Neodiprion lecontei: one gene and its partner. The protein of the gene in region 1 interacts with the protein of each later gene in a pairwise test. Links are inferred from orthologs where the notes say so. Each region holds a gene or a part of one and is shown in the gene's direction. Other genes may lie near its edges.

Region 1 (4,944 bases):
TAAAAATATTTTCCTGCAACACCCTCACATATTCAAAACTTTATTTAGTTTTTAGTATTGTTATTATGTTGTTATTCGTGGTTTTGTAATCAATTTCATATCTATTTGCGTTTAAAGTTTCTACATTATTCGTCGCATCGCGAGCAATGAATCGTGAAAGTGCAATTTCAGGAGCAAGAAAAATACGATTCTACGACCCGTTCCATGTTTCATTGTCAGACTGTCATGTGACAGCAGTGAATGTTTACTTGGAGAGCTGCAATTTTTAAATTGGTGCACAAGCATCCTCTTTTTCGTAACACAATTTTTTAGCAATCAGAGCTGTCGCAAGATAACAAATTTACGCGAGTATAGTAACGTGACGCAAATCTACCCGCACAACATTAAGCTGTTTTCAGGCGTTCTTTGACAAGCGACCGACGCGCTAGGAATAGTGACCAAGTATACACTGCGGTAAACTGGGTTGCCTATCTTACGGTTGAAAAAACTTCCAACTTTCTTCAGCACACTACGAATAAATTTTGTGATGAATTAAAAAAAAATCTAACCGTAGATACTTGAAACTGATCGAAAATCTAACTATTTCATTCTCAGAATCACTAATCTCTAAACAAAAAGTGGGAACGGCTGGAAAAAATAAATCTTACGTTTTTCGCTGTCTCCTACAAGGAACACCAGTTTGCTATCTCACTTCTAATTCATTGCAACTCGTACATGTTGTAGAACATTGGAAACTGAAAATACCTATTTTTTTTTTCTTGTCGGCGGAAAAAACGATCTAAAGGGGTGAAAACGATCCCTAAATATGGGCACCCAATGGGGTCATTTCTATATGCGCTTGATATATTTTAATGAAACCAATGCTGAAATATCGATCGTATATGGGAATGAAACATTTCAGCGTTTGTTTCATTGAAATACATCAAGCGCTTCCATCCGGAACTGAGAAACCATCCCATAGAGTGCCCATCTTTGGGAATAATTTTCACCCCTTTAAACCGTTTTTCCCTGATAAAAACAAAATACGTGTGTTTTAGTTTACAATGTTCTACAACATGCGTGAGTTGCAACGAAGTCAGAGGGGGACGGCAAAGTGATGTTCCTTATTGGTAAAGTCGGAAAAAAAATGAATATTGATTCAGTCCTCATAATTTTTATGATTTTTACTCGAAATAAAAATAACGGGTCATTGAGGGTAAATTTTAACTCGGGTTTAAGCGATCCTGTCAGATTTGGCCGGATCTATGCTAATTAATTTAGGGGTGGAAAAGAACAAGTAGTCCAAAAAAAAAGGCGTGAACCTTGTCATCCCTGGTGGGGATCGAACCCACGACCTTTGGATTAGAAGTCCAACGCGCTATCCTCTGCGCCACAGGGACTCGACAACAACCCAGATCTCCGCGCGTTCATATTTTGTACCTAGTTTTTTAATCCAAGGTGGCAGCATCAGTATGTCTCTCCTGTGACGTCACTTGCTAACGTATCGCGCGGTCAAGAACCCTGCTCACTCAACTTTCGAAGACAATGTAAAAGATACCGTGTCGCGTGATTTAGAAACGAAAAATTTCTAGTAATTTTTGTTTCTAATTATTGGATTAACACGTCTGTACGTATGTTAACTGACGTGCACAAAGTCCGTATCAGAAATAGTTAATCGACGATTTTTGTACATAGCTGCAACATCCCAATAAAAATCGTTCGGAATGCTTCAACTGCATCCAAATGAAAACACAGAAATTTTCAAAAAGTACATTACTCTCCGTCATCGGCGGGACGATATTAGAAAATTTGTTGTACGACGGAGTGATGGGTGGTAATAAACTTTGTACGTACGCTCCTGCGCTGAGGATCGCAGTAAGTCAACACCGCGGAAAGCGCGAAGAAACGTGAAAAAATCGAAACCTCTGTCCGTGCACGGTGTGTGGGATGATAAACGTTGTTGCTACGCGGTTGAGATGTTGAAATTCGGTTAAAAAAAATGAATTATAGATCGCGCGAGGTTATAGTTACTAGGATATTAAGTGATAACGGTAAAAGAAGGGACGGTGTTTGACAAGTGAGAATTCGGGATGCGAGCAGCGGTCTGATAAACATGGCCGCTCGAAAACATATGACAAAGGATAAAGCGCTGCGCTGCTTTTCTAGGACGAACAAAATACCGACATTTGATTGTTGAAAAATTGTCAGATTTCGAATTCAGGATATTAAAGAGCCATGAATACGAATGGAGAATGGGGTCAATCGCTTCGGTGCTACAGTGGCATTGTTCAAAGTGTTCTCTCATAAACCCGACCGAGAGCACGAGCTGCGCCAGGTGCGGGGAACCTCGTAGGGTATACGATAATAAAACAAATCCCGAAACATCATCCCCGAGCAGTACAAATGTCTGTGAAAAAAATAATCCCGATTCCGCGAACTCTACGCCTCCAACACCGCCACCACGACTCAATTTTACGAATCAGTTAAAATGCTACATACCAAAAACTAGCTGCGTTTACCATCAAAAACCGTTCTCGTTCACCGTAAAAAATAACAACGTCGTTCCGTCTGGGTGAGCAATATTTATTTACTTTATTCTGACACTCGTCCCCATATTCATGCCTGGTACCATTCGACGTATTTCAACTCAAAACCAGTCAAGTCTACCTAACATTGTACATACCCACGCAAATTACTTCAAGTGTAAACAAACGACGATCTATTATAAAAACCTACATCCAGTATGGAAACAAAGGAACTGAGAACAGTACTCTTATAAGTACGAAAAATCAATTTTTTCGTGTATCGGACTGAACCGTACAAAATTTTTTACATTTATCGCTAATCAACGAAACACTACAGCTGATAATCATTTGATTCGACTTAACAATACAACTTATCAGATAATACTAGGGTTCGTAGATCGTTCGCTGTGTCTACGATCAAAAATATATTCTGTTCAGCTTACAATTTCAAAAAAACTTGCAAATTAATTTTACACCACTTTCTCAACTGACTGTACTCTACCTCTTTAACTCAAACATTTATTATTTTCGTTAGGAATGATCCCGGATCAAGAAGCTCGGATAAAATATCTCGGCGCAACTCTTGGTCTGGGAGGACGAGAATTGAATCTGTATCATTAAAACACGGTGTATCTGTACCTTTGTTACCTACTCGCTGGACTTGCATCAGATGTTTGCAACCAAACAGCCAAAGCTCAGTGGCCAAGTGTATCGCCTGTGGAACTATTTCCTTGCCCGCATCGAATCAGGAAGGTCATATTTGGACGCGGAAAGCGAGGAGACCCGAAGTTCGCAAACTTAAAAACCTTCACCTCAATGATGACGAGGATCCAGCTAAAAGTTCGTCTTCGGGACTGGAAGATGGTGTTTTAAATGTGGAATTCAACGCAACATCAACTCCTTCCAATCTCGATAAAACCAATAAAGGTAAACAAATACGGTGACATTGCTTACAAGAGTAGATCCCGGTAATAAATTTTTGTTTGAAATTTCTGTAGTTTTTGTATAATACTGTAAGAAATTTCTATTTTTAGAAAAAATTAATTTTTTTCTCATAAATCTCTGCACTACCTTTAAAAATTCTTCTCCCACATGTAATACGATATCACTTATCTTCTATGATGCAACTTCCTGATATAAATCTTTGAAGCGCTTTCTTTCTCAAATATTTTCGCATTTTCTAGACAGTCAATGCTGATGAGCTACTCGCATAGTGTTTCGGTGTGTTCATAAATAACAAAGGCACGGGTAATAATCATGTCTGAAAATGTCAGAGCTTTAAAACCGAGGTTTCTCAGAATTCTTTAATTTTGGTTTTAAAAAAGGCAATTGACCTTTGGTATTAACTCCCAATTTTTATTTGACTGAAATCTAATTAGAAACTAAAATATGGAACATTCTAAACGAATTGATTTTTTTTATGCCGTTTTAAATGGCATGTGATAATATTTCAAACGAATCATTCAATTTGTTCCTCATTCCATCAGGTGAAAAATATACTTACAGGATATCTATCTTGATTTGTTCATGCACAAACTAAAATGATGTAAAGAGCATTTATGTAATGCTTCACTAATGGATTATAAAACAAAATTGATTGATCATGCACATAAAAACCTTAATATTTACGATAAATTTTACCATAACTTAGAAGAAACAATTGTAATCGTGCTGTGTTTTTATCACAGCCAAGATGAAATATTTAATCATTATTCATTTATTGAATGGTAAAATCCCTCTCTGTAGTTTTGTAAGATTAATCGGTGTTCCCAGCCTTGCACTTTGAAACACCTTAGTGTGTCAAATTCTTTTTGGTACTTCACAATGAATCACTGACTGTGGTCGATTAGATTAACAATTTAGAGCTTGCATGTATCAATTAAACTTTCAAGAAGCAAGAGATACATTATTCGGGGCTCTTGATTATTGCTAAAAAAGGAGTTGATTTTTCAAACTCTTTGAAGATAATTTTCTAGTAACTTTTTTCTTATCCTAGACATGGCCCAGCTGACCAGCCTCGGTCGTAGTGACAGAACAAGGTCCAACCGCGAAAGTTGGACGCTACCTCCTGTCGAAACCATGGATTCGCCCTCAATGGCCTATACGGACAACATAGATAATTCTCAGCGTTCACCAAAGCGTCACAGTCCCTCGGTGTACGAGCGTGTGAAATCTAAAGTGAGCCGTTCATTGTCGAATGGTTCTGTTGTTCAAAAGTTATCGGAGGCTGGGATCCAAAGACCAACTAGTCTCATAGTTTCGGAGGTGCAACAAGACAATGCCTTGTGGAGCTGCGACAACTGTACGCTAGATAATGCACCTGGCTTGGAACAATGCGAGGCATGCGAAGCACCTAGGAGCCCTGCACCCTGTAGCGGCGTAGTTATAAGTGTACCGGCATGGGAGCCGAGAGCGCTTTCTTCTGCAGGCCTTCCGACAT
Region 2 (5,872 bases), on another chromosome or scaffold:
TGAACGGTGAGTCGACGAAGTTTTGCAACGGTAATGTTTCGGGGCATAAAGTGCACCGGGAATTAATACACCGTTCCGAGTATCGCGTAGACTGGAGCTGGGAATGTTCAAGAAAACTAATAAAAGACACCCGTCACAACAGCTACAGCAATTGCGCAACAGTGTTTATTAAGAATCATCTTTCAGTAGTAGGTTTTGCGGGGGGGCGCAAGATCAGTGATTACACCAGAAACGAACCTCAGAAAAAAAAAGACAGTCTATTAAACGAGGATCGCTGGTTGGTTGTTAGTTCATTGCCAACATAGATAGTCAGAATTAATTTATAGACTTAGAACTAGGTAGTTGCTGAACGAGGTTAAAATTAGTAACGTTATCGTAACGTAATATTGAGCGAATGAATCCCTTTCTTTCTCAATTTTATAATGATTTTGAAGGAACTAAGATCGTGAAATGTGAGTGTGTTCTCATTTATTTCAGGCAATTTCAAAAGCGCGAAACACGGTTTTTCCTCAGCATGAATCGTTACGATAACGTTACAAAATTTAATACGATGTTGCTGAATAAATAAGAATCGCAAGATGTGAAGAGGGTAGGCACATGGAAACTACTTTCTAAAGTTGAACAACGAACGAACGCACGCAGGCTCAAGCCAGCACATCGCAACTAATCGTAAAAGCTAAGGTGCTCTCTCTCACTCTCTCTTGCTTACACACAATCAGTTTCCTCCGATCGAAAACGTGGCGACCGAGTTAAGGTGAAGCAACTGCCATGACGCAGGCCAACAATAAGATAACCCGAAACCCGCGTAGCAGCCTCGGATTGGCTGTAAGGGTGGGTGTGCAGCGGCCGCGCCTCCGAAACGAAATATATGCTATGCATTCGGATATGTGACGATTTTGTACACAGCTGTGTTCGCCCGAAGTGGGGAAAAAGATAACTCGACTGTTGCTAATTATAGCTGCGCGTGTAGCTTTAGATACAGTGTATGTACGCAGCTACGTTCCGCTCATGCATGCACGATGTGTCTACTCACGTTTATCAGACGCGCAGTTGACCAGTCGGACGAAACTATCATGTATTATGGGGATATGTTGTCTGGAAACGAAGACGTGCCGATCCTCGGCTCTTCGTGCTTCTTTCTACTCGGTATTAAGACAGGTAAAGGTGTCGACCACCTTCGCATTCGCCCGCTTCTCCCACGACGTACGACCTTCAACCCACTCCGTGTGTACGCCACTTGATATTTAATTTATGAGAACGAAAAATTCTCTAATGTACCGCGCCAGGACCACCGACCTCACTCGACGTGAGTCGGAAGCATACTGGCCAACTCAGGACGGCCTCTACCTCTTCTCACCGAAACCAGCCTGTACCCTGAACTTTGCCGCTTTTCGTGCGGTTTTAAGAGTTTAGACCTATGATTTCCACGACATCAATGAAGAGGTCGCTACTGTCTGTAGATTGGCGCAGCAGCGTCTATGAATTATAAAACTGAAATGGTGTCCTCGGTGTAATTACTGAGCTGTACTCCGCAGGTAACTGAGCGGTACTCTGTCAGTAACTGAGCTGTACTCTGCTGTATTTGGCGTCAAGGGAAGAGCAGAGATTCATACTTCGATTGGGAAAAAAGTATACCCGCGACTGCTGATTGATTGCTTCCAATCATCGATATCTTCCAATTAACTTTGCAATATGATTGCTTCGCAAAGCTGAAAGCAGGCTGACCGCCTGAATTGAAGGATGTAATTACTCAAGTATCAAAAATGTTGCAGTAGCTTTGAAACTCGAACGACGATGATGCAGCATATAAAAAATATGATTAGCAATAATAGTAGTCATTGAATCTCCCTAAATTTCTTCACAATTTAGAAAATATAATTTTTTCAACAGGTTAGAATTACGAAAAGTCATTGGACCTCGTAGGTGGCCACCTTGCGGGCTGAACTTGTTGTTTTAGCGTGTATTTGAGCGCGAAAGTTGCAGAGTGTTTCGTAGGGGAAGAGTCACATCGTTTAGAGGTATGGGCGAGTAGAATTTGTCGGAAAATTTCTCATAATATGTTACTATTCGTGAAATAAATTGAGGGCAAATATACCTAGATCGAGAAAATTACTTTTAAATTTGTGAAAGCCGTTAACTAGCCTCCAGGGTAAATAATTGTGATCAATTATACCAATACGCGGAATAAAGTCAGTTCAAAGAAGTCGAAAAATGGCCGAGAAAAGCGCTGATATTTTAGAGGAGGATAATTCTGTCACGATGCTCGATGTTCTTCAAGAGGAAAATCAACTAGAGGAAGACGCCTACGCCGTGCTGGGTGCTTCCGATGATAAAAATTGCACCTATAACAAGGTATTCAGCCGCACTTTGAGCTCGGAGTTAACAGATTTTAACCTTTCCTCTCTACACCACATCCTCGACAACCACTCATCAGACTTTGGTTCTTTTATTGTATAATATATCGAAGATATTTCTCAACGCGAGATAAATTTCATTCAAAGCTATATTTTTCCACTCGCCGTAAGTAAATTTTCTCCCCGTTTCAACGTATCCTATATTGTGCATTACGTATTCACGATGCCAAACACCTAACGCAGATGTATATCACGTTAATGGCAGAAATGTCAACGAATTTTATGTAAACAGTAAACAGTTTTCTTTTTTCGTCAACACAATCTTACATAGATTTTTCGGATCCTAATCGAATTTCTTGCTTATATTCTTGGATGCTCAATGCAAATCTGTCAAGATCTAGGTATTCCTCTTGAAATACACCAACCCAAATTTCCAGGGCTACATTCGGCAGGCACTTTATGCCTGCAAGACCTGTCGCGGTGACGGAAATCCCGCCGGAGTGTGTCTGGCCTGTAGTTTTCAATGCCACGAGGGGCACGAGCTGGTTGAGCTTTACACCAAGCGCCACTTTCGCTGTGATTGTGGAAATTCCAAATTTGGTGACAAAAAGTGTAGCTTGGAACTGGTGAGGATTCTTTTCTTACACGGCATGGTTGAATGCGTACCAATCAATTTTCATGCTCATTTTCTATTTCTTTCAGACCAAACTCGACACTAACGAAGAAAATCAATACAACCAAAACTTTGATGGCTTTTATTGTACCTGTGCCAGACCTTATCCAGACCCTGAGGATACTAGCGGAGATGAAATGCTCCAGTGTGTTGTATGCGAGGATTGGTATCACTCCAAGGTCAGAGAGTAGACGACTTTAAATGAACCGCCTCGCGTCAGCCTGAAATTTCTTTACAGTCATAAAATTTTAGAAATATGTAGGGAGAAGAGATTTCAATATCACTGTTGAATTTCTCTTTGTTGCTAGTTTTAATCTACCTTCAAATCCGTCTTGGGTTTGTACAGACTTCAGTTTTTCACAATTTTTTTTTCTTTTCACCATTTAGCATCTTGGTTGCGGAGATATTTCCCCTCCTGATGATTATGACGAATTGATTTGTTCTGGGTGTATGCAGAAACACACGTTCCTTTGGAAATATGCTTCGAAGTACTCAGGTAGATCTCACTTTAAGTTGAAAAATAACTCAATGCTATCCAGAGTTTAATCTAAAGGCTAATTTATTGAGGATATCATCACAGTGAATAGGGATGCGAAGAAGGACTCATCCAATGGAAAGGACGAAACTGTAGATGTCGAAAACGTTCCTGCAGGTTGTAAGATACCGCTAGAACCGCAATCAACGTCAACGGGTGCCTGTTTTTGGGCAGAAGGTTGGCGATCATCTTTGTGCACTTGCGACAGTTGCAAAAAGGTATACTCTTTTACTGTGAAATCTTCTAAAAGTTTCGCAGCCTTTTTGAAACATTATATTGTTCTATGTGTTCAATATTTACTTACGCTTGTTAGACATATGAACAAAGCGGTATCGAATTCTTGCTCGATCCGATGGACAGTGTCCAGGTTTACGAAGAGGCTGGAAAAGCTAGCCAGACTGAATCCCAGTATGAAAGAGGAATGAAGGCACTCGCCTCACTCGGTCATGTTCAGCAATTAACTGCTATTGAAGGTGAGGTCACGAATACACAATAATTTATTCAAATTTCCGATTCTTTTGGAATATAATAAAACAAAATTATTTTCCTTTTTTTCTCGATACTTTGTTAGAATTCAACAACATGAAGGAAAGACTCAAAGAATACCTTCAAAAGTTTGCCGAGAACAAGAAGATTGTACGCGAGGAGGATATCAAAGAATTCTTTTCTGGGATGGAAGCAAACAAACGTCAGAAGGTTGTTGTGCCAACATTTTGTCGTTGATTAGGAAAAAATAAAAAAAATAAGATCAATGAAAGGAAAATTAACAGATATGTGAATTTATAAAGAAAACGCAATATGCCCGCGTACTCGTATTTTATCCCATAATATTATTAGGGTCTTAAAAATTATTATGTATAATCATCTATGTGTCGTAAATATAATATTATAATTTGCAAAATCAGTATTTCTATAATGTATATTAATACTATTGAAAATTTACCTCAGGTTTTCCTCTCTCCAAAATTAGCTTCAGTTAGATTCGGTTTTTTTTTTTTTTGTAAAAGTTCTCGAGAATGGTATTTGTTAAACTAAAATAGTGCCGATATACGAAAAAGCTTAACACATACCTAATAATTACAGCTCTGAATCCCGCTGGAATCGCAAAACAGACGACGAATTAACAGGGGTCACTTCAAAAGAATTTCCCGAACAGAATTATCATCACGTAATTGTTTAAGCCATCGAACAAACAAAAATTAAGTATTATTAATCATGTCTAAAATTATTGTTGTTATTTTCGTTATCTTATAGCTAGGTAACAGTCGTTATGTTCAGTAATAAATAACAACGGATCTTATAAAAATATGTAACGTCTTTCAAAGTCTTTTTAAAGTATATTCAAGATGCTGCTTGTATATAATTTGCCATAAATTAAGGATCGGTAATGAGTGAAGATAAACGTTTGATAAATCAATTATAGAATTTCGTTTGTAATAGGAATTGCTATAAATTTCATTATACACATAAATTCAACTGAGCGATATTCATTGCCAAGTAATGCGATGTGTAAAAAGAAAAATATTACCTGTCGCTTGTTGAATATTCAAATTTGTCTAACATGCTAATTAATCGCACGTTTACATATTCACGCAGTAGTTATCGCGAATGTGATGCAGGAATAATACGCGATCTTTTTTAAGCCATCATCATAGCTTGAACTATCTTACAATTTCACAAATAATAAATAAAAGTTTACATTTAAACTATAAGTATTACCTGATATAATATTAGTCACATAAACTCTTATCATCTCCAGTTAAGATGATCTAAATGGATTCTGCATTTTGAGGCAAAGTAAAAGCACGTGAACAATTTATTTCCTATAATGTTATCTACTGTAGTTATTATATTCCAATGTCAGACGGTTGATTTTTTGAAACACTGATTGTGTTGTTGTTGTTGTTCAGTTGTAACGGTACCACCAATATCGGATCATTGCTTTTTGGATTGTCAGTATAGACGGACCAGGTTTTCTCAATGCAGTCAAATATACCTGGTGAAAATAATGAAAGGAAGAAAAAAATAGTTGATTACAAACTCCTTGGACTCGCTACTCACTGTATATATTGCACTCACCGACAGCGATAGTTGTGATGCCATCCTCGTTTCCGGACTCAAAGACTTTGAACTCATTATCAGTCTGATCTCCCAAAATATTAATCACATCTTGACGATTCTTGGGTGAAGGATGACGAGAAATTGCAGCCATTCTGCATTCACTGCTTTTAATAATCAAACCATCAACTTCAGGTACACGTAGTCTTAAGTATCTGTTGAAGAACGAGTTTCATAATTAAAATCTTGGAA

The links.
Region 2: the proteins of calpain-D-like (region 1) and putative E3 ubiquitin-protein ligase UBR7 interact in a two-hybrid assay, tested with the Drosophila melanogaster proteins (2 studies listed by BioGRID). The link is inferred for Neodiprion lecontei from reciprocal best matches to the Drosophila melanogaster genes sol and CG15141.

What each region holds. Positions count from the first base shown.
Region 1 is NC_060265.1:8,932,617-8,937,560, forward strand, and holds the start of calpain-D-like, read left to right. Parts: upstream 1-1,865; 5' UTR 1,866-2,231; coding exon 2,232-2,551; intron 2,552-3,039; coding exon 3,040-3,431; intron 3,432-4,500; coding exon 4,501-4,944. UniProt on the Drosophila melanogaster protein: Has a role in eye development. Calcium-regulated non-lysosomal thiol-protease.
Region 2 is NC_060261.1:2,491,551-2,497,422, forward strand, and holds putative E3 ubiquitin-protein ligase UBR7, read left to right. Parts: upstream 1-1,920; 5' UTR 1,921-2,211; coding exon 2,212-2,352; intron 2,353-2,791; coding exon 2,792-2,980; intron 2,981-3,056; coding exon 3,057-3,206; intron 3,207-3,414; coding exon 3,415-3,523; intron 3,524-3,607; coding exon 3,608-3,780; intron 3,781-3,875; coding exon 3,876-4,035; intron 4,036-4,133; coding exon 4,134-4,285; 3' UTR 4,286-4,645; coding exon of another isoform or gene 4,646-4,651; 3' UTR 4,652-5,068; downstream 5,069-5,872. Other genes in the region: uncharacterized protein LOC107216708, read right to left, coding at 5,410-5,558, 5,642-5,835.